Arabidopsis thaliana: one gene and its partners. The protein of the gene in region 2 purifies or fractionates together with the protein of the main gene of each other region. This does not show direct contact. Each region holds a gene or a part of one and is shown on either strand. Other genes may lie near its edges.

What was found.
Region 1: the proteins of AT3G11830 (region 2) and AT5G45620 fractionate together in Arabidopsis thaliana (co-fractionation; one large-scale study listed by BioGRID). This does not show direct contact.
Region 3: the proteins of AT3G11830 (region 2) and PAA1 fractionate together in Arabidopsis thaliana (co-fractionation; one large-scale study listed by BioGRID). This does not show direct contact.
Region 4: the proteins of AT3G11830 (region 2) and PAA2 fractionate together in Arabidopsis thaliana (co-fractionation; one large-scale study listed by BioGRID). This does not show direct contact.

What each region holds. Positions count from the first base shown.
Region 1 is NC_003076.8:18,499,930-18,504,685, forward strand, and holds AT5G45620 (Proteasome component (PCI) domain protein), read left to right. Parts: upstream 1-1,556; 5' UTR 1,557-1,660; coding exon 1,661-1,810; intron 1,811-2,104; coding exon 2,105-2,551; intron 2,552-2,749; coding exon 2,750-2,830; intron 2,831-3,025; coding exon 3,026-3,222; intron 3,223-3,315; coding exon 3,316-3,415; coding exon of another isoform or gene 3,416-3,493; exon of another isoform or gene 3,494-3,753; coding exon 3,754-3,939; 3' UTR 3,940-4,215; downstream 4,216-4,756. UniProt on the Arabidopsis thaliana protein: Acts as a regulatory subunit of the 26S proteasome which is involved in the ATP-dependent degradation of ubiquitinated proteins.
Region 2 is NC_003074.8:3,730,862-3,737,020, forward strand, and holds AT3G11830 (TCP-1/cpn60 chaperonin family protein), read left to right. Parts: upstream 1-1,795; 5' UTR 1,796-1,872; coding exon 1,873-1,887; intron 1,888-1,983; coding exon 1,984-2,244; intron 2,245-2,441; coding exon 2,442-2,567; intron 2,568-2,657; coding exon 2,658-2,861; intron 2,862-2,942; coding exon 2,943-3,112; intron 3,113-3,201; coding exon 3,202-3,337; intron 3,338-3,709; coding exon 3,710-3,826; intron 3,827-3,933; coding exon 3,934-4,053; intron 4,054-4,132; coding exon 4,133-4,231; intron 4,232-4,306; coding exon 4,307-4,396; intron 4,397-4,654; coding exon 4,655-4,742; intron 4,743-4,831; coding exon 4,832-4,920; intron 4,921-5,055; coding exon 5,056-5,130; intron 5,131-5,211; coding exon 5,212-5,295; 3' UTR 5,296-5,610; downstream 5,611-6,159. Other genes in the region: SYP121 (syntaxin of plants 121), read right to left, coding at 1-7; AT3G11825 (Bifunctional inhibitor/lipid-transfer protein/seed storage 2S albumin superfamily protein), read left to right, coding at 901-1,203; PUB24 (E3 ubiquitin-protein ligase PUB24-like protein), read right to left, coding at 5,717-6,159. UniProt on the Arabidopsis thaliana protein: Molecular chaperone; assists the folding of proteins upon ATP hydrolysis. Known to play a role, in vitro, in the folding of actin and tubulin.
Region 3 is NC_003076.8:13,764,575-13,769,822, reverse strand, and holds PAA1 (proteasome alpha subunit A1), read left to right. Parts: upstream 1-1,934; 5' UTR 1,935-2,054; coding exon 2,055-2,130; intron 2,131-2,205; coding exon 2,206-2,300; intron 2,301-2,457; coding exon 2,458-2,539; intron 2,540-2,626; coding exon 2,627-2,723; intron 2,724-2,862; coding exon 2,863-2,921; intron 2,922-3,065; coding exon 3,066-3,148; intron 3,149-3,891; coding exon 3,892-3,987; intron 3,988-4,164; coding exon 4,165-4,224; intron 4,225-4,313; coding exon 4,314-4,406; 3' UTR 4,407-4,747; downstream 4,748-5,248. UniProt on the Arabidopsis thaliana protein: The proteasome is a multicatalytic proteinase complex which is characterized by its ability to cleave peptides with Arg, Phe, Tyr, Leu, and Glu adjacent to the leaving group at neutral or slightly basic pH.
Region 4 is NC_003071.7:2,232,346-2,236,979, forward strand, and holds PAA2 (20S proteasome subunit PAA2), read left to right. Parts: upstream 1-1,673; 5' UTR 1,674-1,880; coding exon 1,881-1,956; intron 1,957-2,038; coding exon 2,039-2,133; intron 2,134-2,214; coding exon 2,215-2,296; intron 2,297-2,360; coding exon 2,361-2,457; intron 2,458-2,532; coding exon 2,533-2,591; intron 2,592-2,673; coding exon 2,674-2,756; intron 2,757-3,062; coding exon 3,063-3,158; coding exon of another isoform or gene 3,159-3,188; exon of another isoform or gene 3,189-3,347; coding exon 3,348-3,407; coding exon of another isoform or gene 3,408-3,409; intron 3,410-3,615; coding exon 3,616-3,708; 3' UTR 3,709-4,125; downstream 4,126-4,634. UniProt on the Arabidopsis thaliana protein: The proteasome is a multicatalytic proteinase complex which is characterized by its ability to cleave peptides with Arg, Phe, Tyr, Leu, and Glu adjacent to the leaving group at neutral or slightly basic pH.

The DNA of each region.
Region 1 (4,756 bases), on a different chromosome or scaffold from region 2:
ATTAAACAAGACTGTAAACTATATAACAATATCAGATATTCAAATTTTTCATTTAACATGCTTTCAAAATAAATTTTAAATAGCAAACATAACCGTTGTTGTTATCACCGGTCATCAAGTTGTTGTTATCACCGGTTATCAAAATGTTATCTAATTAATTCCAAAACATAACCTAATAGATTAAATTGTCATTGATCAAAACATAACATAAAAGAAAAATGAGCAAATAAACATCTTAACATGAAAACATAAGGTAACAACAATATACAAACTATTTATGATATCTATATTTACGGATCCATCGTAAATAATCATCTTTCGCTTTAAAGTTTTTGATGGAGCAGTCGGTAAAACTTAGGATCCAAAAAACTTTTTGTACTATTACTATTATTTATGGTTAAAATTCTCTTTTTCTTATTAACTTGATTTCTTTATGTGTTTTATATTATTTTTATAAATAATTGAAAATCATTTTTAAAATTTGCAATATTTTATTAATATTGTAAAATACCGTCATAATAAAAATTATTATGGTAAACCATAAATAAGATTATTTAGTAATCAAATGACATTGATCTAATATTTATATTTTTCTTTTCTGAAAAAAACTTTCTGGTTCGTTTCTGTTCCGGTTTTCAAAACTCTGTCCGGTCATGTGGAATGCTAAATTACAAATCCACCTTATTATAATTTAAATTACATAAATACCCCTTAAAACTCACATATTTATACTTTGGTCCCGGTAGTTCTCTTTTCTTTTTAAATTAAAGGATTATCTGCTTAGCAAAAAAGAAGAAGAGAAAAGGCAATGTTTTGAAACCCGACCCGGACGATGAACCGGACTACCTTCTGGGTCACCGGGTCACCGGGTCAACCGGGTTGGACCACGGGTTAATTAGTTAAAATTTATTTAATAAATTTAATATTAATAGAAAATTTAGAGTATTTTATAATAAAAAAATTTGTAGTATTTATAAATATAAAACAAAAATAATCATATCATATTTAATCAAATATAAAATTATATTATATTTAACAAAATATAAAATCATTTACACCCAAATATATATATATATATATAGAAAAAATCAAACAATAATAATAAAGTGGTTAAAAATTTGAAATCCAATAAATGTCTAACACCGTAACAAATATATTAGGAGATCATCAATGACATAAATAAATTAATAAAACATCGTGAATTAAAACAACTAATCTCGGTTGTCTCTCTCACCATTCGATTCAATTTTAAGGCGGTATTGTAAAGTCTTCAACAAAATCTAAAACATCAAATGAATTTAAGAACTGAAAAAACTTCTAAAAATAATTGAATAAAGTCTAAAATCCCATATTTTATTGTAAAATCAAGAGAACTTTTTAAAACCCACACCCGGCCGGTTCAACCGGTTCACCGGGTCACGGGTTAATTGCGAGTTTTTGTGGGTTTTTTCGGTTTTGAACTTGTTGGGTTTTAGCACTAAACCCAAACCGGAAAAGTGTTCGGGTTACGGGTTAACCGGTCGGACCGGACGGTTCGGGTCGGGCGTGAAAACACTGAGAAAAGGGTTTTTTAGGATTCTTTAAACGCAGAGCTGAGCTGAGTTACATAAGATCGAGAGAATTCGCAAACTCGTTTCTTCATTCGTCTTCGTCTTTCGCCATGGCTGCTCTACAATACTTGGAATCTCTGAAAAATACGCATCCAGAGCTCGGCGAATGGTACAATTCCCTTGCAGATCTGTATCAGAAAAAGCTCTGGCATCAACTCACCCTTAAGCTCGAACAGTTCATCGCTCTCGCTGTCTTTCAGGTACTTTTGCTTCTCCTCCGTAATACTAATTGGTTTCAATATCTATCTAGGTTTAGTAGTGGTCCTTGTGGATTTTAGGGTTCATAGATCTCGACAAATATCGTAGAATCTGTGTTTTTACTTCCGAATAACACGAGTTAGAGATCCGTTTGGAAGATGATAGGGTTTTCTCGGATTAAGTTCTTCGAAGAAAGTTAGGTTTTAGGGTTTATAGATCAATTTTGATTGCTTCCAAGTTTTTGTGTCTGATCTTAACCTGTGTCATTGTTATAATATAATTTTTTTTCATTTCAGGCTGGTGATGCTTTGATTCAGTTCTATCACAATTTCATCACTGACTTTGAGACGAAGATCAATCTTCTGAAGCTTGCGCATTTTGCTGTGGTGGTCTCTCGACAGTACTCTGAGAAAGAAGCTGCAGTTAGCTATCTTGAAAGCGTGATTGAGAAACTTAGAGCTACTAAAGAGCCTAGGATTACTGAACCAATCATTTATATTGAAACACAAAAAGCTTTATTCAAGCTTGAGCAAGGTGATCAGAAGGAGTGCAAAAAAATCTTGGACGATGGAAAGAGCTCTCTTGATAGTATGACTGACATTGATCCATCAGTCTATGCCAACTTCTATTGGGTGTCTTCTCAGTACCATAAGTGCCGTCAAGAATTTTCTGATTTCTACAAAAGTGCTCTGCTTTATCTTGCATACACGTCTGTGGAGGACCTTTCAGAATCGTTTAAGCTGGTATGCCCCTGTAATATTATGTACCTTGTTCTTATATTTTGTTCTTATGTTAAGTTTCCTGTTAGCGATAGTGGATAAGAGTATTCAGAAATTTGATGAAATTTAGAGGAAACTGAAGAAAAAAGTTGCGTACTAGTTAGCTTCCCTAGAGTCACCGATCAAATTTTGCTAATGTCAGATCATATCTGTGTCTTTCAGGATTTGGCTTTCGATTTGTCACTATCAGCTCTACTTGGGGAGAACATCTATAACTTTGGGGAACTGTTAGCCCATCCCATTGTAAGTTTTCCTTCATCCTCGACATAAACTACTGTTATATTTTCTTGTGTAGATAAAAGGCTTCTTGTTGATCTTTAATTGCTTGGATTTACGATAGATACTGTTTGTGAGTTGAGACGGCTTCTAACTCTCATGTTATAGTTTTGCTTAGAATTGTAGATGGTTCTCTTACATGTAGCATTTCTCTGATGACAGTTGAAAAGTCTCCTTGGAACAAATGTGGAATGGCTCTACCACATTCTACAGGCATTCAACCATGGTGATTTAGTTCAGTATCAAGAACTATGCCGTGTGCACAACGCATCCTTGATTGCTCAACCAGCACTTGTTGAGAACGAGAAGAAGCTTTTGGAAAAGATCAACATTCTCTGCCTTATCGAGATCATCTTCAGGTAAACTTTTCTCTAGGCAATTGTACCTCACGCCGTTTCAATCAAAGAAATAAAATCATGTGCTAATACATTTGATTTTAAACTCTACATCAGCCGACCCGCTGAAGATAGAACCATTCCTTTGAGCATCATCGCTGAGCGTACTAAACTTTCCATTGAAGATGTTGAGCACCTTCTCATGAAGAGCCTTTCTGTAAGTATTAGTATCTCCTTGCATTTTTCTCTCTTGTGTTCTTTTAGTACCCAAAAAACTCTGCAGCTTCCGGGTTAAAATCTGTTGTGGTGACCAAGGAAAGAGTTTGTCTGAGTGACCAACATAATGATACTGAACTACCTGTCATCTGATTAAGAACAACATAGTAAACATCACCATACGCATTGTATCTCTAGGTTTATGTATTTGCAGTTGTCGTCTTATTGCGTAATTTTGTTATAGAACTCAAATGATCTTGACTGGTTTTGTTCCTGACTTAGACATAGAATGATTGTGTATGCTTCTGTAGAATCTAAAGTGGAAAATGAATGATACAGGTGCATTTGATCGAGGGCATCATAGACCAAGTGAACGGAACAATTTATGTCTCATGGGCGCAACCGAGAGTACTAGGGATTCCACAGATCAAGGCTTTGAGGGATCAATTAGACAGTTGGGTTGACAAAGTTCACACCACTTTACTATCTGTTGAAGCCGAGACACCAGATCTTGTTGCAGCATAAGAGAAAAGAAAACCTTCTTCCTCCTTTTGAAGCTACTGAATGTAAAACACCATCTTCTCTGGGATTAGATTCAAGTTTTTTATTTCAGTCGTAGAAGAAATTACAATTGCTTTTTAATCTTTTGACTTCCATTTCAAGATGTCCGAAATTTCAGTTCTACATTTAGACTATTTTCATACATTTTTTCTTAAAACATGTCCTTGACAATCATTCATTATTCACATAACCATAACAAGTCAATCAGTTTATAGAAAAAGTCATCTGATAGGATCTAAACGTGGACTCACTCACTCTGAATAGTTGATTTGAGCCTAAAATTTGGGGATTCTCGCGGCTTCTGGCACTGGTCTCCGATTACGTCACTTCCCGATGATTTCATCTTGGACTCATAGCGCGTATACCAAGATTCAATTCCCAACAATCTCACTCCTTTCAAGGCGTTTCCGATCATTGTTACGTTGCACAGAACATTGTCTCTATGCACTCCTCATAACCCTGAAACACGTCACTACCGTTGGTATATTCTTTCTCCGACGCAATGGCTTTATCCTTATCGCTTCTCTTCCTCCTATGCCTGCTCATGGAAGCTATATTGCTTTAGGTTCAAAAGATTTACGTTTTTAGATGGCGTTTATGATTCCGGTGTGACTTCGAGAGTGTTAACCACTGTGGAGATGTGAATTCTAAGAAGTGAGAGTATATATGCGTGTGTCGTTGATGATGTATTGTACTACTAAATTTGTGCTCTAAACCATAACAGCTAGACATAATTCTAAATTTCATGTTATGGTAGGAAGATTGTTGATTTCATTGATCT
Region 2 (6,159 bases):
CGTTCATTTAAAATTCGAAAAATAGAGAAATCTAGAGAGAGATTTCAGATCGGAATGAATCAACGGGAAGACTTAAAGAATGGAAAAATGAGAAGAAGTCGTACAGATTCAAGTAGGCGGTTTTATTGAAAAGTCCAAAAGGAGGATTATGAGGTAAGAGAGGAAGAAGTCAAACAAGTAAGTCTCTATTGGTTGACTTGGAAGCTTCTGAGAAAGTAACAATGGCGGAGAAGGGAAGGTGAAGTTGAAAGCGAAACCGTGTGCCCTTGTCCCGTACGTGTAAGTATATACGGTAACAGATCCCAAAATCATATATAAATTGGAGAAAGAAAAAAACATTCGTAATTTGAATGATTTTTAAAATTTTATTTTGTCGGCTTTGGATACTTTAAGTTTATCATCCAAAGGATACATTAGCCCATACGAAACACTTATTGATAAATTGACTTCAGCAGAAAACATTTAAAAAAACAAAAATGTTACTGTATATCAAATTAATTTACATAATTTAGAATCGTCCATCGAACCAAATTTAAAGAAGCCCACCAAATCCTTGCTTTTCTCCGTTAAAGGGCCAAGCCTAAACCCATAGCCCAGTCTTTGAGCACCGGAAAGCAATTGTAATACTTCGATTGTTCGATTTGTAAGATATACAACATCCTAACAACCATACACCGATATACATAAAGAACAAGTCAAATGTTCAATATGAACAACCATATAAAAATAGAATCACTTTCCTCCCTAATCTATAGGATACCCATATGTTGTATAAATCGTTGATTCCAAGTTTCCTATTTAAAGATCTCAAACAAACAAAAAATATACAACATTTTTGCAAAACTAATTGTTCCTGATTTGAGATATTTTGTCATCAGCTGGTAGGTTAATAAATCAGACATGAAGATCATCCCATTGATGTCCATTGCCTTGGTCATATTCATGACGTCATTTCCGGCTCCCATCAAAGTAGCCGGTGGTGTGGGTAATTGTGAAAAGGACATGCAATGGTGCATAGACAAAACTGAATTCTTTACTCACGGTTACATTTATGAGCGTTGTTGTTATAATATGATAATGAAAAAAAAATGTATGTGTTTGTTTCTCAAGTCCCCCAAGCTAAAGATAGCTGCTCGCAACGTTAACAATGCGTGTGGTCGTGGTGGTCTTCCAAAGGATGCATTCTCTGAGTTCAAGTGTTAAATATATAGATACATAAAAGTAAATAATTAACAACAATAAAGCAAACATATTTTTGATCAGATTTGTACTATGTAGTTTAATGGTTTGTACTTTGTAGTCGTTATGTTTAATAACTTGTCAATTGTCCTTATAGTTTTGATAGAAGTTAGAACACATAATATATAAGAACAATTGTCTAGAGAGACTAATGACTAATTAAACTTTGATTTATCATGTAGCTTAGTTACAAACAACAAGTATTGCTTCAAAAAGTATAATCCTTTTGAGTTCCTCCCAAAAGAGCCACCTCCATTGCCATCCTTTCCACATTAGAGTTTACCAAATTCTAAATTAACAGAGCAAAAGTGAAAAATCAACAAATATATGCGTCGAAAGCCAATTTTTACATAATTTTGTGTCTGCATAATTTAACTCCATTAAAAAAGCATGGAGAAACTTTTAAATAATTTAATTATGACTTTCTAAGTGGGGTCCAGACCATAAAACGCTGCGTTTTAAGTGAAATTATCGGTTCAACCGGCCGGTCCGGTTCTAAGAACATCGGTCGATCTAGTTGCTCCTATATGAACAACAGAAGACCTAAACCCTAACTCCCCCCCTCTCTCTCTCTCTCTGCTCCATTTCTCTCACTTTCTTCACATCTCTGAAGCTCTTCGTCACGCATCTACAATGGCATCGATGATGGTAAGTCGCATCTACACACACTTTCTCTCTCTATCTCACTCTCTGTGCTATAAACTGACTAACGTGCCACTACTTTGGTTTTGGTTTGATGAGCAGCAACCGCAGATCATACTGCTGAAGGAAGGGACGGACACATCTCAGGGCAAAGCGCAACTAGTAAGCAACATCAACGCTTGCACTGCTGTTGGAGATGTAGTTCGAACCACGCTCGGGCCACGAGGGATGGACAAACTCATTCACGACGATAAAGGATCCGTCACCATTTCTAACGATGGTGCTACCATCATGAAGCTCCTCGACATTGTTCATCCTGCTGCTAAGATCCTCGTCGATATCGCCAAATCCCAAGACTCCGAGGTCTTTGTTTTATTTCAATTTTTTAATTCCCAATCTGAGTTTTCGAAAAAATCGTAATTGGACTGATCTTGAGCTAATTAGCGATTCCATATTAGATCTCTAGTGTTTATATTAAGTGCGATCTAGTATTCAGATCTTAGAATGAGTGACTGAGTTCATGAACACTGAATCTTCTGTTGTTGTTGTTGTTTGGTTAGGTGGGTGATGGGACAACTACAGTGGTTCTTCTTGCAGCAGAGTTTTTGAAGGAAGCGAAGCCATTTATTGAGGATGGTGTTCACGCTCAGAATCTAATTAGGAGTTACCGCACTGCAAGCACTTTGGTTTGTAATTTTTTCTCGTTAGTATAATTACAAGTCTTTTTGATTTATTGGTTCTTTTGTTGCCTTACTCACTATTAATTATTGATGTAGGCAATTGCCAAGGTTAAAGAACTCGCTGTTAGCATTGAGGGGAAGAGTGTAGAGGAAAAGAAAGGTTTATTGGCTAAATGTGCTGCTACGACTCTCTCATCTAAGCTTATCGGTGGAGAAAAGGAGTTTTTTGCTACAATGGTTGTTGATGCTGTTATGGCCATTGGGAATGACGACAGGCTAAATCTGATTGGGATCAAGAAGGTAAACACATTTCTATTTGTGTCTATACTGTGAAGCCAAGTTAATGATGCATCTAAGCTAATGTCAAGGTTTGCTCTGCAGGTTCCTGGTGGCAATATGCGAGACTCTTTCCTCGTTGATGGTGTAGCTTTCAAAAAAACATTCTCGTATGCTGGTTTTGAGCAACAGCCAAAGAAATTTCTTAACCCCAAAATTCTCTTGCTTAACATCGAATTGGAGTTGAAATCTGAGAAGGAAAACGCTGAAATTAGGTCAGCATTCTGGATTTTTATGTTTATTTTTTCCCTTCAATTAAACATCTTTTGGCCTTATTTGACTTGGCTCCACCCATTGTTCACAGGCTGTCAGATCCATCACAGTACCAGTCAATAGTTGATGCAGAATGGAATATCATTTATGACAAACTAGACAAATGTGTTGAGAGTGGAGCAAAAGTTGTTCTTTCTCGATTGGCTATTGGTGATCTAGCTACTCAGGTTTGTTGATACCTTTTCTTTGTTTTGCTCATCTGCTGGATGATGTTTTTCCTGCTTATTCAGGCTGAAAATTGACGTCTATCTGTATTTCTTGTGAAATCATTTGACATCTTAGAGGCATGATTACATTGGTAGGTTATGGTCTTGCAATTCTCAGTATAAGACTATTATGCATGAGCAACACTTTAAAGTTTCAATTATAAGTTCGTGTTGTAGTAAGTTTTAAGATGTTTTATTTCCTCTGAAACATATGAATAAGTTCTTTGCTCTTGTCAATCAATATTGTTCGCTACAGTACCTTGCAGCTTGGTGTTTCATTTTCAATATCAATCAAGAGTGCTTGACTGTGTTTTACTTGGCATTTTCTTGCAGTATTTTGCCGATCGTGATATTTTCTGTGCTGGTCGTGTTGCTGAGGAAGATCTTAACCGTGTGGCTGCTGCAGCTGGAGGAACAGTTCAGACAAGTGTTAACAACATAATAGATGAGGTTCGCGAAAAAGGAATTTCTTTGTTTGCTATTGGATATGCTTATTAGCTTTAGGTGACTTGTTGATTTCATTCATCTGATTCAGAGATTGATTTTAATTTCTGCAGGTTCTTGGAACTTGTGAGATTTTTGAGGAAAAACAAGTTGGTGGGGAGAGATTTAATATATTCAGTGGTTGCCCTTCAGGACGAACAGCAACTATTGTTCTCCGTGGTGGAGCTGATCAGGTATGCATCAAATATTGGAGGCTTCATGAATGTAAACCAATCAACATAAATATTAATTCCTTTGAAACGTTAATGGCAGTTCATCGAAGAAGCTGAGCGGAGTTTACATGATGCGATTATGATTGTGAGAAGAGCTGTGAAGAACTCAACTGTTGTTCCTGGAGGTGGAGCTATAGATGTGAGTATCCTCCATTCACTGTGGTTCAGTATTTAAATTTTGCATGTAGGGTTGAACCATTCCTCCTGGTTGTAGATGGAGATAAGCAAGTACCTGAGGCAGCATTCAAGAACAATTGCTGGGAAGTCACAGCTTTTCATCAACTCTTATGCGAAGGCTCTAGAGGTACACTTCCTGGTTGGCTTGGCTGTTTTAACTTTTGTACCTCTTAATTTCACATATAAATAAAAGCTTTCTAATTGTGTTCTGTGTTATTCGGCACCTATAGAAAAGACATATTTCCTGTTCGCTTGTTGTTGTGTACAATAGGAGTTAGTAAACAACCAAGGAGGGTCTCAATATCTTTGGCCAGGATCTGAAAATTGTTGGTTCACCTTTGATACACAAAAATCTGAATTCACACTGTTTATGGTGGTACTACAGGTTATTCCACGACAGTTATGTGATAATGCTGGATTTGATGCAACTGACGTCTTGAATAAACTTAGACAAAAACACGCCATGCAAAGCGGTGAGCCTTCTCTCACAGTCACAAGCTTGATGTATTCATCTTTTGATGAGAGCTGCTTAATCTCATTCATGATATCTTTGTTATAACAGGTGAAGGAGCTTCGTATGGAGTGGACATTAACACTGGTGGCATAGCAGATTCTTTTGCTAACTTCGTTTGGGAACCAGCAGTTGTGAAGGTATTTCAAGATTCTATAAAATTCCACTCTTTTTTCGTTCTTGGGACTATTGTGCCAGTTATGAATATGTCTATCTTGTGTGGATATCTTTCATTGAAAAGTTTATTGATAGTATGATTCCCTTTGTTCTGGTAGATCAACGCAATAAATGCTGCGACTGAAGCGGCTTGCCTCATTCTTAGTGTCGACGAAACCGTGAAGAACCCTAAAGTAAATAACACATGCTCTCATTTTCTTTTGTATGTTTTGACAATGTATATGTATTGTATTGATAATTGTTGTCTATTGCAGTCTGAGAGCGCACAGGGAGACGCCGCAGGTGCAATGGGGAGAGGACGCGGTGGAGGTCGTGGCCGTGGAATGCGAAGGCGATAAGCTCCGTCTCTAATGCCAAACTTGTGGGATTCTTCTTCTTCTTCTCTAATTTCGATTTTGTTGAATTTTTGTTTTGAAGTTAAAAAACCTATTATTGGGTTTGTGTTTGTTCAATTAGAATACTGGTTGGGTATGTATGTCTATACAATCTGTGAAACATAAGTTTTAGTGTTGTTTTGGTTAAGGAGTTTATATTTGCTTAATCAAATCTTGACAAGAATGAATCACTGTAACAACTTCAGATGTGTTGTAGATGCAACTCTAACTATATGCATCATCATCTTGATCTAATAGCTCGATTGAGGATTGATCGATCCTCATCAAAAAAAATGCATACACTTGAATATTTCGATATCTATGTGTTTGAGTATGAAAAAAGTTCGATGCTAAGTATGCGTTGTGTGTGCAGCAGATTATTTACTTAGATCTTTGGCCCTTTGGGTGAGATGCTTAGCAGCTTAGTGAGAAGAGTTATGTCAATACATGGAAACTTCTTCCACTCATCAAAATGATCTTTTAGTATCTCTTTTGCTTTCTCCTTCAAGTTCAAACCACAATCCATTCCTAGAACGGAACAGAGCTTCTCTACCGTCCCAACATTAACCATCTCTTCCACCACCATGTTTTCCGGCGAGAATTTTGACACTGTAGTTAGGATAGAGATAGCTCTATCGTCTGCCGCAGGTGAAACCCTCAATAGCCGCTTTGTCACAACCGCGATTCCGCCCCTATGAGCAAGAATCTCGGCTCTACCGTTCGCACAGCAACATAAACGAGATAAAACTCCTAACATAAGTTCTGTGATTCTTTTCTCGCCAGTGTAGCTTATTTCGAGTTCGATGAGTTCAGAAACCGCACCGAGAT
Region 3 (5,248 bases), on a different chromosome or scaffold from region 2:
CATGGTAAGTTACAACTAATGATATCTATATCTATATGCAGCCTGTTCAACTAGGAAAAATCAACAATTACACACATGGAATTTTTCATTGTGATAAGAAATCAGATTCTTTAGTCCCTTAGTCAATAAAATAATCACGAACCAGCAAAGTATATGACTCAACAACAAGAGTCCTGATATTGCATATCCCAAGACCATAAACTCATCACATAATATATGCTAATTATTACCGAAAAATGAGCTTCTTAATGCCTAAAATTCTGATTTGAACTTGGCTCGTACGCTCATAATTTAAAGCTCAGCCAAGAACATCATGATAGCCAACAGAGATGCATACACTTTCTTGAATTAAAATCCCAGATCACAATGAAGTAAAGTTATCTAAGTAAAATTTAATTATTTTCAAAAAAAAACAATATTCATGGCTTTTGTTCATCATTCCTTTCTTGAATCAAAAGGTTATATATTTGATGAGAGTAAAGAACAGAATAATGATACAATATACATTCTCTTATATAGAGATGAGATTTCCTAATCAAAGATAAAACCTAAATGTAAATCATATATATTTGATAAATGTAAATATTACTAAAACTAAGATATGATAATATTTTAGATCCTTCTGCAATCTTCATGATTTCCATATTCTTGGGCGATCATCTCAACCATCAATGATTGATTTCCAGTTTCCCCAATAAAAGTAGCTTTAATTCAAATCATAATAGGATAATCAGTTCTTAAATACTTTGGAAAAATATATGGATAAAATCAGAAAAATAAACCTCTTTCAAATAGGAATAAGAAAAAAAATAGGAATTAATCATTTTGATTTTCTAGTTGATGTATTGATCATATAGTTGAGTATTCTTATAATGTAAATTAGCCGATCAAGATTTAAATATACTTTTTAAACGTTTCTTTTTAAGCTGATTAGGTTTTAGAAATTCTAGGGGAATTAGTTTCATGAGTTTTTATAATTTTGTTTTGCAAATATTGTTCAAAAATCAAAAATCATTAAAAATCTGAAAACATATTTATGGCCTAAAGGCTAAAAGTTGGATATAATTTATTTATTTTCGGTTGGATATATTTTGCTTAGTTTTATCCCGTGTGTATTTTTTCCTTATTTATATATAGTAAACGAGAACGTAGACAGAACAGAGTTGGGATGGAGACAAAGAAGAGAAGAAGAAGAAGAAGGAGATGATTTTCTTAACAGATGATCTATGGGCAATTATACTTGCGAGATTACCACTAACAATCATCACCACTTCAAAACTAGTTTGCAAGCAATGAAATCGCTCATAGAATCTCCCTTTTTCCGCAAACTTTTCAACACCCACCATCAAAACTCTCATTCTTCATGGTCAATCCTCTGTAGAGTCCTACCTGAAGAAGTCGTGGCTCACTACGAAAGCGAGACTTGGGGTCTTTCACGATCTCTAGGTTCTTACATTTCTTCTTTCATAACCCACAAATTCAATACTCAATTCCCATACGTTACACTCGTCGTGGCTTACACTCATGTTGGATTGATTTTGATCAGTTCTTGCAACAAATTACTAACTTACTATGTGGCTAATCCGATCTCAAGACAATGTGTCGATAATATATCACTAAAATTTTCTTCAAAAGTTTCTCTAAACTGTATTACAATGTTTTCACAAACTTTCATCGATACCTAAATAGTTTATATCTTTATTTTCATAAAAATTTGTGATTAAAAATAAAATTCGTTAGAAATTAGAAATTTTATTAATCTTTGTAATAAGAAAGTAAACTTATAACAATTTTAAAGTATCTTTTTAATATTTTCCATTTTAATTTTAGTTAAATACATATTTTTCTTCCTATATGATTGATTGCATCTTAAATCGCATATCTTAAAGTGGCAGAAGAGTAAATAAAGTGGTCATCAAAGGGCAAAATAGTAAAAACACCACCTCGACTCTTTTTTTCTTCTGTCTTGGACATAAAGCTTGATTCAATTCCATTCCTTATTGTTATATACACATCTCTGATTCAACTCCACCGAATTCAGAAGATCGAAGAAGATGAGTAGAGGAAGCGGCGCTGGTTATGATCGTCACATCACTATCTTCTCACCGGAAGGTCGTCTCTTTCAAGTTGGTCAGTACTCTCCGATTCCCACTCTCAATTCCTTTTCGAGCTCTGAAAACTGAATACACACTTTTGCTTTTGTAGAATATGCCTTCAAGGCCGTGAAAACAGCTGGTATTACTTCAATCGGAGTTCGTGGGAAAGATTCGGTTTGCGTCGTTACCCAGAAGAAAGTTCCTGTGAGTGAATCTCTCTTTTCATTGTCTCTCGTTTTTTTTAGGGTTTGCAAAAAAGTTGCGTCTTTTATTGAACCATTGTATGGATTTAGGTTTCTAGTAGATTGAGGATTGTTGGTGTATCTTACCCATTAGGGTTTTTGTTTTTGGGTTGGGACAGGACAAGCTTTTGGATCAGTCTAGTGTTACACATCTGTTCCCTATCACCAAGTACATTGGATTGGTAGCTACTGGCATTACAGGTTCGTTTCATGACCCTTTTATCTCCTCTTAAGCTGTAGAATTTATTGCTATGGATGGTAATTTGAACATGTGAATTTCGTTTTCAGCTGATGCAAGGTCTTTGGTTCAACAAGCAAGGAATCAAGCAGCTGAATTTCGGTTCACTTATGGATATGAGATGCCTGTTGACATTCTTGCTAAATGGTATCGTTGCTAATCGACTTGGTGTCTCTTTTTTCAGATGGTTCTTTAACTTCTTAGTGGAGGCTGGCTTATAGTTATTGATCTATCTAGCTCTTCTGTGATAAATGGTGTTGCTGATAAATAACTATTTTACTTACAGGATAGCGGACAAGTCACAGGTCTACACTCAACATGCTTACATGAGACCCCTTGGAGTTGGCAAGTTTGCTATCTTTTTCTTTTCTTAAGACCAATCTAGACATTAGTGCCTACTTGTGTTTGATGCGTATTATATCACCTTCACGTTTTGATGAATATTATTGGCTGACAAAAGGAATTTTCTTGTTGTCTCTCTTTATGAAGTCGCTATGGTAATGGGTGTTGATGAAGAGAATGGTCCCTTACTTTACAAATGTGACCCAGCTGGACATTTTTACGGTCACAAGGTATTATCTATCACTCGTAGCTTATACTTTAACTAAACTTGTCTTCTAATACTTACTGTTTTGATTGCTTTTGCTGGCCTGCATCAAGATTTATTGATAACATATCTGAATAATATCGTCTTACAAGCATATTGACATACACTACACACTATTTACTGCTTGTCACTAACATAGAAGAAAATGCCTCAGTCTATAAGTCATTGTGATAAGCATAAACGAAAAAAGTATAATATGACTATAGGAGTGAGTTAGTCATAATTGCGGAGAGTTTTGGTCATTTGGGTTGTTTGTGGTAAGCCTTTCAGACTTTGGGATAGGTTTGGGTACTCTATAAGATAGCATAACTCTCACTTTAGTTCTTTGTATCCGGTTGCTCCTGGGTTCATTAGTTTACTTGTTTTCATTTGTAGATTTACAGAGAAGAATAAAGGAAACTTTTTCAATCCTGTCTTTCTCATTTCGCTGATCTTAACACTTTTTAGGAATCTTATGTATAAAGGTTTTTAAGCATCGTGCTCATTTCTACTTTTAGTAACTGATTGATCCTAGGTTGAAACAAAACACGTTTTGTGTATCTATTCAATGACATGACTACATACAGGTTACACATGAGTCTTCTGGACTATATGACCAAGATCTCTAGAGGATAGGATATACAAAAAAATTATTCTCTCTCTCAAAAGTCGTAGATATTTCATGTTAATTGAAAAGCAGCTAATAGACAAGCAACTGTATTCGTGCAGGCAACTAGTGCTGGTATGAAGGAACAAGAAGCAGTCAATTTCTTGGAGAAGAAAATGAAAGAAAACCCATCTTTCACATTTGATGAAACCGTGCAGGTAAATTATTTGCATTATCTTTCATATTTTCCCTGCTTATGTTCGAATACGGTAACATATGTTCATTTAGCTGCTGATTACTTGTGCTGTTACTTTGTAGATACAAATCTATTAATATTCTTGATGAAGTACCAAATGCACATTGTTCCTCACGTTGATATTTTTATACGTTTGTAGACTGCCATATCGGCTTTGCAATCTGTTCTTCAAGAAGACTTCAAGGCTACTGAGATTGAGGTATACAAAACTCTTCTCGTATATGATGGCAAGTTTATTGTATCATTTGTGGGTTATATATCTTATCAAACCGTTTGGTGAAATGATAGGTAGGTGTGGTGAGAGCAGAGAACCCGGAATTCCGTGCATTGACAACGGAGGAGATTGAGGAGCATTTGACAGCCATTAGTGAACGAGACTGATCAACTTAGTGAAACAAGTGTGAGTTACGTTGCTTCGCTTCTATCAGACATTCCTCTAAAGTGACCACTCTCCATCGATCTTTTGTTTGGTCTTCCTTCCATAATTTAATTTACTTAGTCAACCCAGCAAACTTGAAAAACAAAAATGCACTGTAATGCTTAAGGCTGTGAGAGTTTCCGAGTCTTTTGACTCTTCAGAAATGACACCAACTTTACTCATATCATCACTTTCTAGCTTTTTATTTCTATCGTTGCAGTTGCTGTGTCTTCGTCTTCACCAGTTCTTAAACTCGAATTCGTTTTAAGGTTTCAGTTGTTAGAAAGTGAGGGATCATTCTTACCTTTCAACAAAAAAGGTTTAGGTTATGGATTCCAATTTTTTAGGATCAGTCAAAAATTTTAGGATCAGTCAAATTTTTTTTACATCGGCATAATGCTTAGGGCTGGGCATAAAATCCAAAAATTGATCAAAAATCCGGCTCCGAAACCAAACCGAACCGAATAGTCACAAAATCCGAATACATAATGGATATTCCTATCTGAATTATCCGAAACAAATCCGATCCGAACCAAAAATTGAACGGATATCCGCTAATCCTAAATAAAATTATATATCTAAAAATATTAGTTATAATTTATATCCAAAAAATACTAAATAGCAAAAATATCCGAAATAACTTTACTGTCCGATTTTTTTACTTTTATTTGTTAAAATTATACAATGTTTTGCAAAATTAAACCAAATTTTAGTAAAATTAAACGATTTTTATTAAAATTGTACAATTTTTTAATTTGTTTTTTTTTTAAATCAAAAACTGATCCGAAACCGTTCCGAATCTAAC
Region 4 (4,634 bases), on a different chromosome or scaffold from region 2:
ACCATATGGACAACGGGCTGCCCATGGGCATGAATTGAGTCAATAGACATGTCTTCATTTAATTGTATTTTTATAATTTTAATTACAATTACAACTAAATAATTTTTAAATAATATATTTTACATTTATAAGTTTTTACTTTTCTGAAAATTTTAAATTTTAATGAATTATTTCTTATTAAATTATTTACGATTTTAAAGGAAAGATAGTATTCCACAATTTTCTGGAATACGCAATTTTTAAATTTTACGGTTTTGACGGGAAAAATACAATTCTCCGATTTTACGATTTTGACGGAAAAACGTAATTCTGCAAATTTTCCACCAAAATCGTGATTTTATTATATTGGCGAGAACACAATTTTACGGTTTTGACGGGAAAACGCAATTCTCTGATTTTACGGTTTTGGCGGGAAAACACAATTTTCCAGCCAAAATCGTGATTTTATTATATTGGCGAAAAACACAATTTTACAGTTTTAGTGAGAAAACACAATTCTCCGATTTTACGGTTTTAGCGGTTAAATCGTTATTTTTTTGTATCGGTGAAAAAAATAATTTTACGATTTTACCGTTTTGGCGAAAAAAGCAATTCCATAATTTTTTCGTCAAAATCGTGATTTTATTGTATTGGTAAGAAAAACACAATTTTACCATTTTGTCGAAAAAAGACAAGTCTTCGATTTCTACAATTTTTACGGAAAAATGCAATTTCTCAATTTTTCTTTAAATTTATGATTTTTGATTTATCAATAATAACAATAATAAAATAGGCTAACCATGGGCTTGCCATATGGACATGGTCTTTATTGGGCATGGACATTTTTCGGACCAAACCGTCCAACTTGGCCCATAAAAAAACTGTCCGTACGGACACGCCCAATGGTCTTTGGACGGACCATTTGACACATCTAGAAACAACCGTCAGCAGTAGCCATTCGTTAAGAGTTTCAGAATTCCGATATATACATTTTGATACAACCTACACAAAAACAAAGACAAAGAGAGAAAATCCAACTATGAGGAGGATTATCTTGTTGATAGTGCCATCAAAAACAAGAGTTAGTTATTCACCTGAAGGTTTGGCTAAACAAAGTATATTATCTCTTTTCATATACCTGTCAATTACATCTTGACGCTGCATTGTCAACAATAGAGACCTCCTATGTCCTTTGTATTCACTCTTGGCTTTCTTAAGTACTCTAGTAGATTCATCTACAAATGTAAACATGGTTGTCTTCGCCGCGAGGTCGTTTGCATGTTCTTCTTTTACTTGTTTCGTTTCAGTTCGTTCTTGATCCTGCAAGATCGGGCGTCTTCTCATTGCGGCGTTAGTTAATTAAAGTATTTTGTGCAAAAAAAATTTCCGTCCAATTTTGCAACTTTATACTCTATGTCCAAAAAAAACAAAATAATTATATGAAATTTAAAATAATACGTAATATAGTCAATTTTTACAATTTTACATATTGTAAACGTAAAAACATTTGTTTTTGAAATTTTTTAAAAAATAAATAGTTAAACTACTCATATCAAGAATTTTGATTTGATATATTATTTATCAAAATTTAAAAGTTTAATAATATCAAAAAAAATTATATTGTGTATTTTTTTAATTTTATATAATTATTCTGCATTCTTTTAACGTGAAATGTAAAGTTGCAGCCCCAGGGAGTATTTTAGAGTTTTTTCGAAGATAATTGTAATCTTAACTTATTATTTCAAGGGTATTTTGGGAGATTGACTATTTTTTTTTGGGTTCTGTCTTGAAGACAAAGAAAGCTTTCTTCTATAATACATCTTTCTCTACAGATCACACAGAAGCAAAAATTCCATCTCCGATTTCGGAAGAGAGTTGTTCTCTTCTCTGAGAAGAAGAAGATGAGCAGAGGAAGCGGCGCTGGTTACGATCGTCACATCACTATTTTCTCACCGGAAGGTCGTCTCTTCCAAGTCGGTCAGTAATCAATTTCTCTATCTTTTTTGTTTTTTTAATTTATAACTTCGGAGATTGATATTACTGGTTACGGATTTTGTAGAGTATGCTTTCAAAGCCGTGAAAGCAGCTGGAATCACATCGATCGGTGTCCGAGGGAAAGATTCAGTATGCGTCGTTACGCAGAAGAAAGTTCCGGTGAGTCCTCTTTTGACTCCTTAGGGTTTTTGTTCAAGTGAGGGTTTTGAATTAGGGATCTGATGAATGATTTGTGGGCAGGACAAGCTTTTGGATCAGTCTAGTGTATCTCACCTTTTCCCTGTTACCAAGTACCTTGGATTGTTAGCCACTGGCATGACAGGTTTGTATTTCTCATCACAATGCTTGTTCATTATGGTCATGTTTTGATCTTTCTGGGGTTGCAGCTGATTCAAGGTCATTGGTACAACAAGCTAGGAATGAGGCTGCTGAGTTTAGGTTCCAATATGGTTATGAGATGCCTGCAGATATTCTTGCTAAATGGTAATTAATTACAGACTCTATGTGTCTCTCTACACTTATGAAAGTTACTAATACTGAACTATTGTGCTGTGACAGGATTGCAGATAAGTCTCAGGTTTACACACAACATGCTTACATGAGACCCCTTGGAGTAGGCAAGTTTCCCTAATCCCTATTTATACATTTTACTTGTGTGGTGGTTTTATCCTGATTCTTGTTTTCTTTGTCTTTGTGAAGTTGCCATGGTTCTAGGTATTGATGAAGAGAGAGGACCTCTACTTTACAAGTGTGACCCAGCTGGACATTTTTACGGTCACAAGGTAATACCACCTACTTGTTATGATTAGATAAGCCTCTGCCTCTTACATGCATATTCGTATAGACTACTGCCTTTGCTAACATGGAAGAAAGAAACATTATATTGCACTTGCCTAACCAGATACTGTACTGAGAAACTTATCTGCTTTTAAGAGTTACTGGTTGACCATGGAGGTGAAACCAAAAGTTCTACACACTGTAAACCTGTGAAATATGATGTAGTCACATACGTGGTACATATGTTCCATAGGATCAGAGGCTTCTATATAAAGTTTCTCCACTTATAAGTTAGCAAACATATGATGCAGGCAACTAGTGCTGGTATGAAAGAACAAGAAGCAGTCAATTTCTTGGAGAAGAAAATGAAAGAAAACCCTGCCTTCACATATGATGAAACAGTACAGGTAATTATGGACAATCCTTCTTTATTTTAGATCGGAAGCAGGTTGATCATTTGCAATGTTCATTTGCTTGCACTTTAAAAGCTTTATTGTTTTATATTAGGTTTAGAAACTGTAGGAACGCACAAAACACCAAAATTCTGTGACAGACCTAGACCATTATATCTGACTTTGAGTTATCAACTTTTGTAGACTGCTATATCCGCTCTCCAATCTGTTCTTCAAGAAGACTTCAAAGCAACTGAAATTGAGGTGTCAATTCTCCACTATCTGTACTCCTTTTTGTATAAATGTTGGCAAGAGTAGTATTTTGTATATATGTTGGCCAGAGTCGAATCGTGTTAGCCAGAGTTGTATCGTGGTTAGGAATAAAGAAGGAGAAACCAATGGAAATGTAGTTTTGTTAAAGCTTTGTGAAAAGGCATGTAAATATTTATGCTGGCTACTGTTGTGTTGGCAGGTGGGAGTTGTGAGAGCTGATGACCCTCTCTTCCGTTCCCTGAGAACAGAGGAGATCGACGAGCACTTGACGGCCATTAGTGAACGTGACTGATCACTTTCACTGGAACATTCAGTCGGGACTTTGCATCTCTTTCTTTTGCTTTAAATCTATCTAAGATGATTCACGTTTCAGAGAAACGTGTTTCCATTAGTCATGAGTCGTGTAGTTTTCATTTGAATCATCTGCTTCCTCCTAATAGGAGTTACATGTAAGGGTGTCAAATTAAGGTCGAATGAGATGGTTTAAGGTTTTGAATTTTAAAAGGCAAAACAAAGAAAGTTATTTACAAAAATTGGGAAATCTGCAAAACCTGGACACTTGGTCTTTAACATAATCTCCTAAAGGAACTCTGCATTTTGATGTCCGAGTCCAACTCAATGAACAGAGCTTGACTGAAACGTTTTTTGGAGGTGAAATTCCTTTATTCGTAGGCTTGTTAAAGAGTCTACGCTATAGCTTACCCTCGACTCTCTGCCACCCTTGATTGCGATACTGATATAGTTGAGCATAAAACTCAAAAGGTCGTGTGAAGAAGAATTTTGGTAAGATGTCCTTTGTTCTATCGCCTTTGATGTATATGTTTTTGAGTTGTGCGATGCATGCTGCATTGTCTTTGTACATAATTGTTGGAGCTTTTTTCCTTGCATAGATACCACAATCTTTTTGTATATGGTAACTATGGATCTTAGCCATACACGCTAAAAATCTTGCGGCTAGTTTCATGAATTGCTAAAATCTCTGAATGATTAGAAGATGTGGCTGCAACAGTTTTCTTCATAGAACGCCAATAAATAGCAATACATGTGAAGACATATTCTGTTTACGATCTACCATTATGGAGATCAGATAAATATCCTGCATCTGCAAAACCTTATGGAGATCAGATAAGTATCCTGCATCTGCAAAACCAATTAAATCTTCTAAATTGGTTAGGAAAAAGCAGACTCATGTCTTTCTTACATTGGAGATAACGAAGT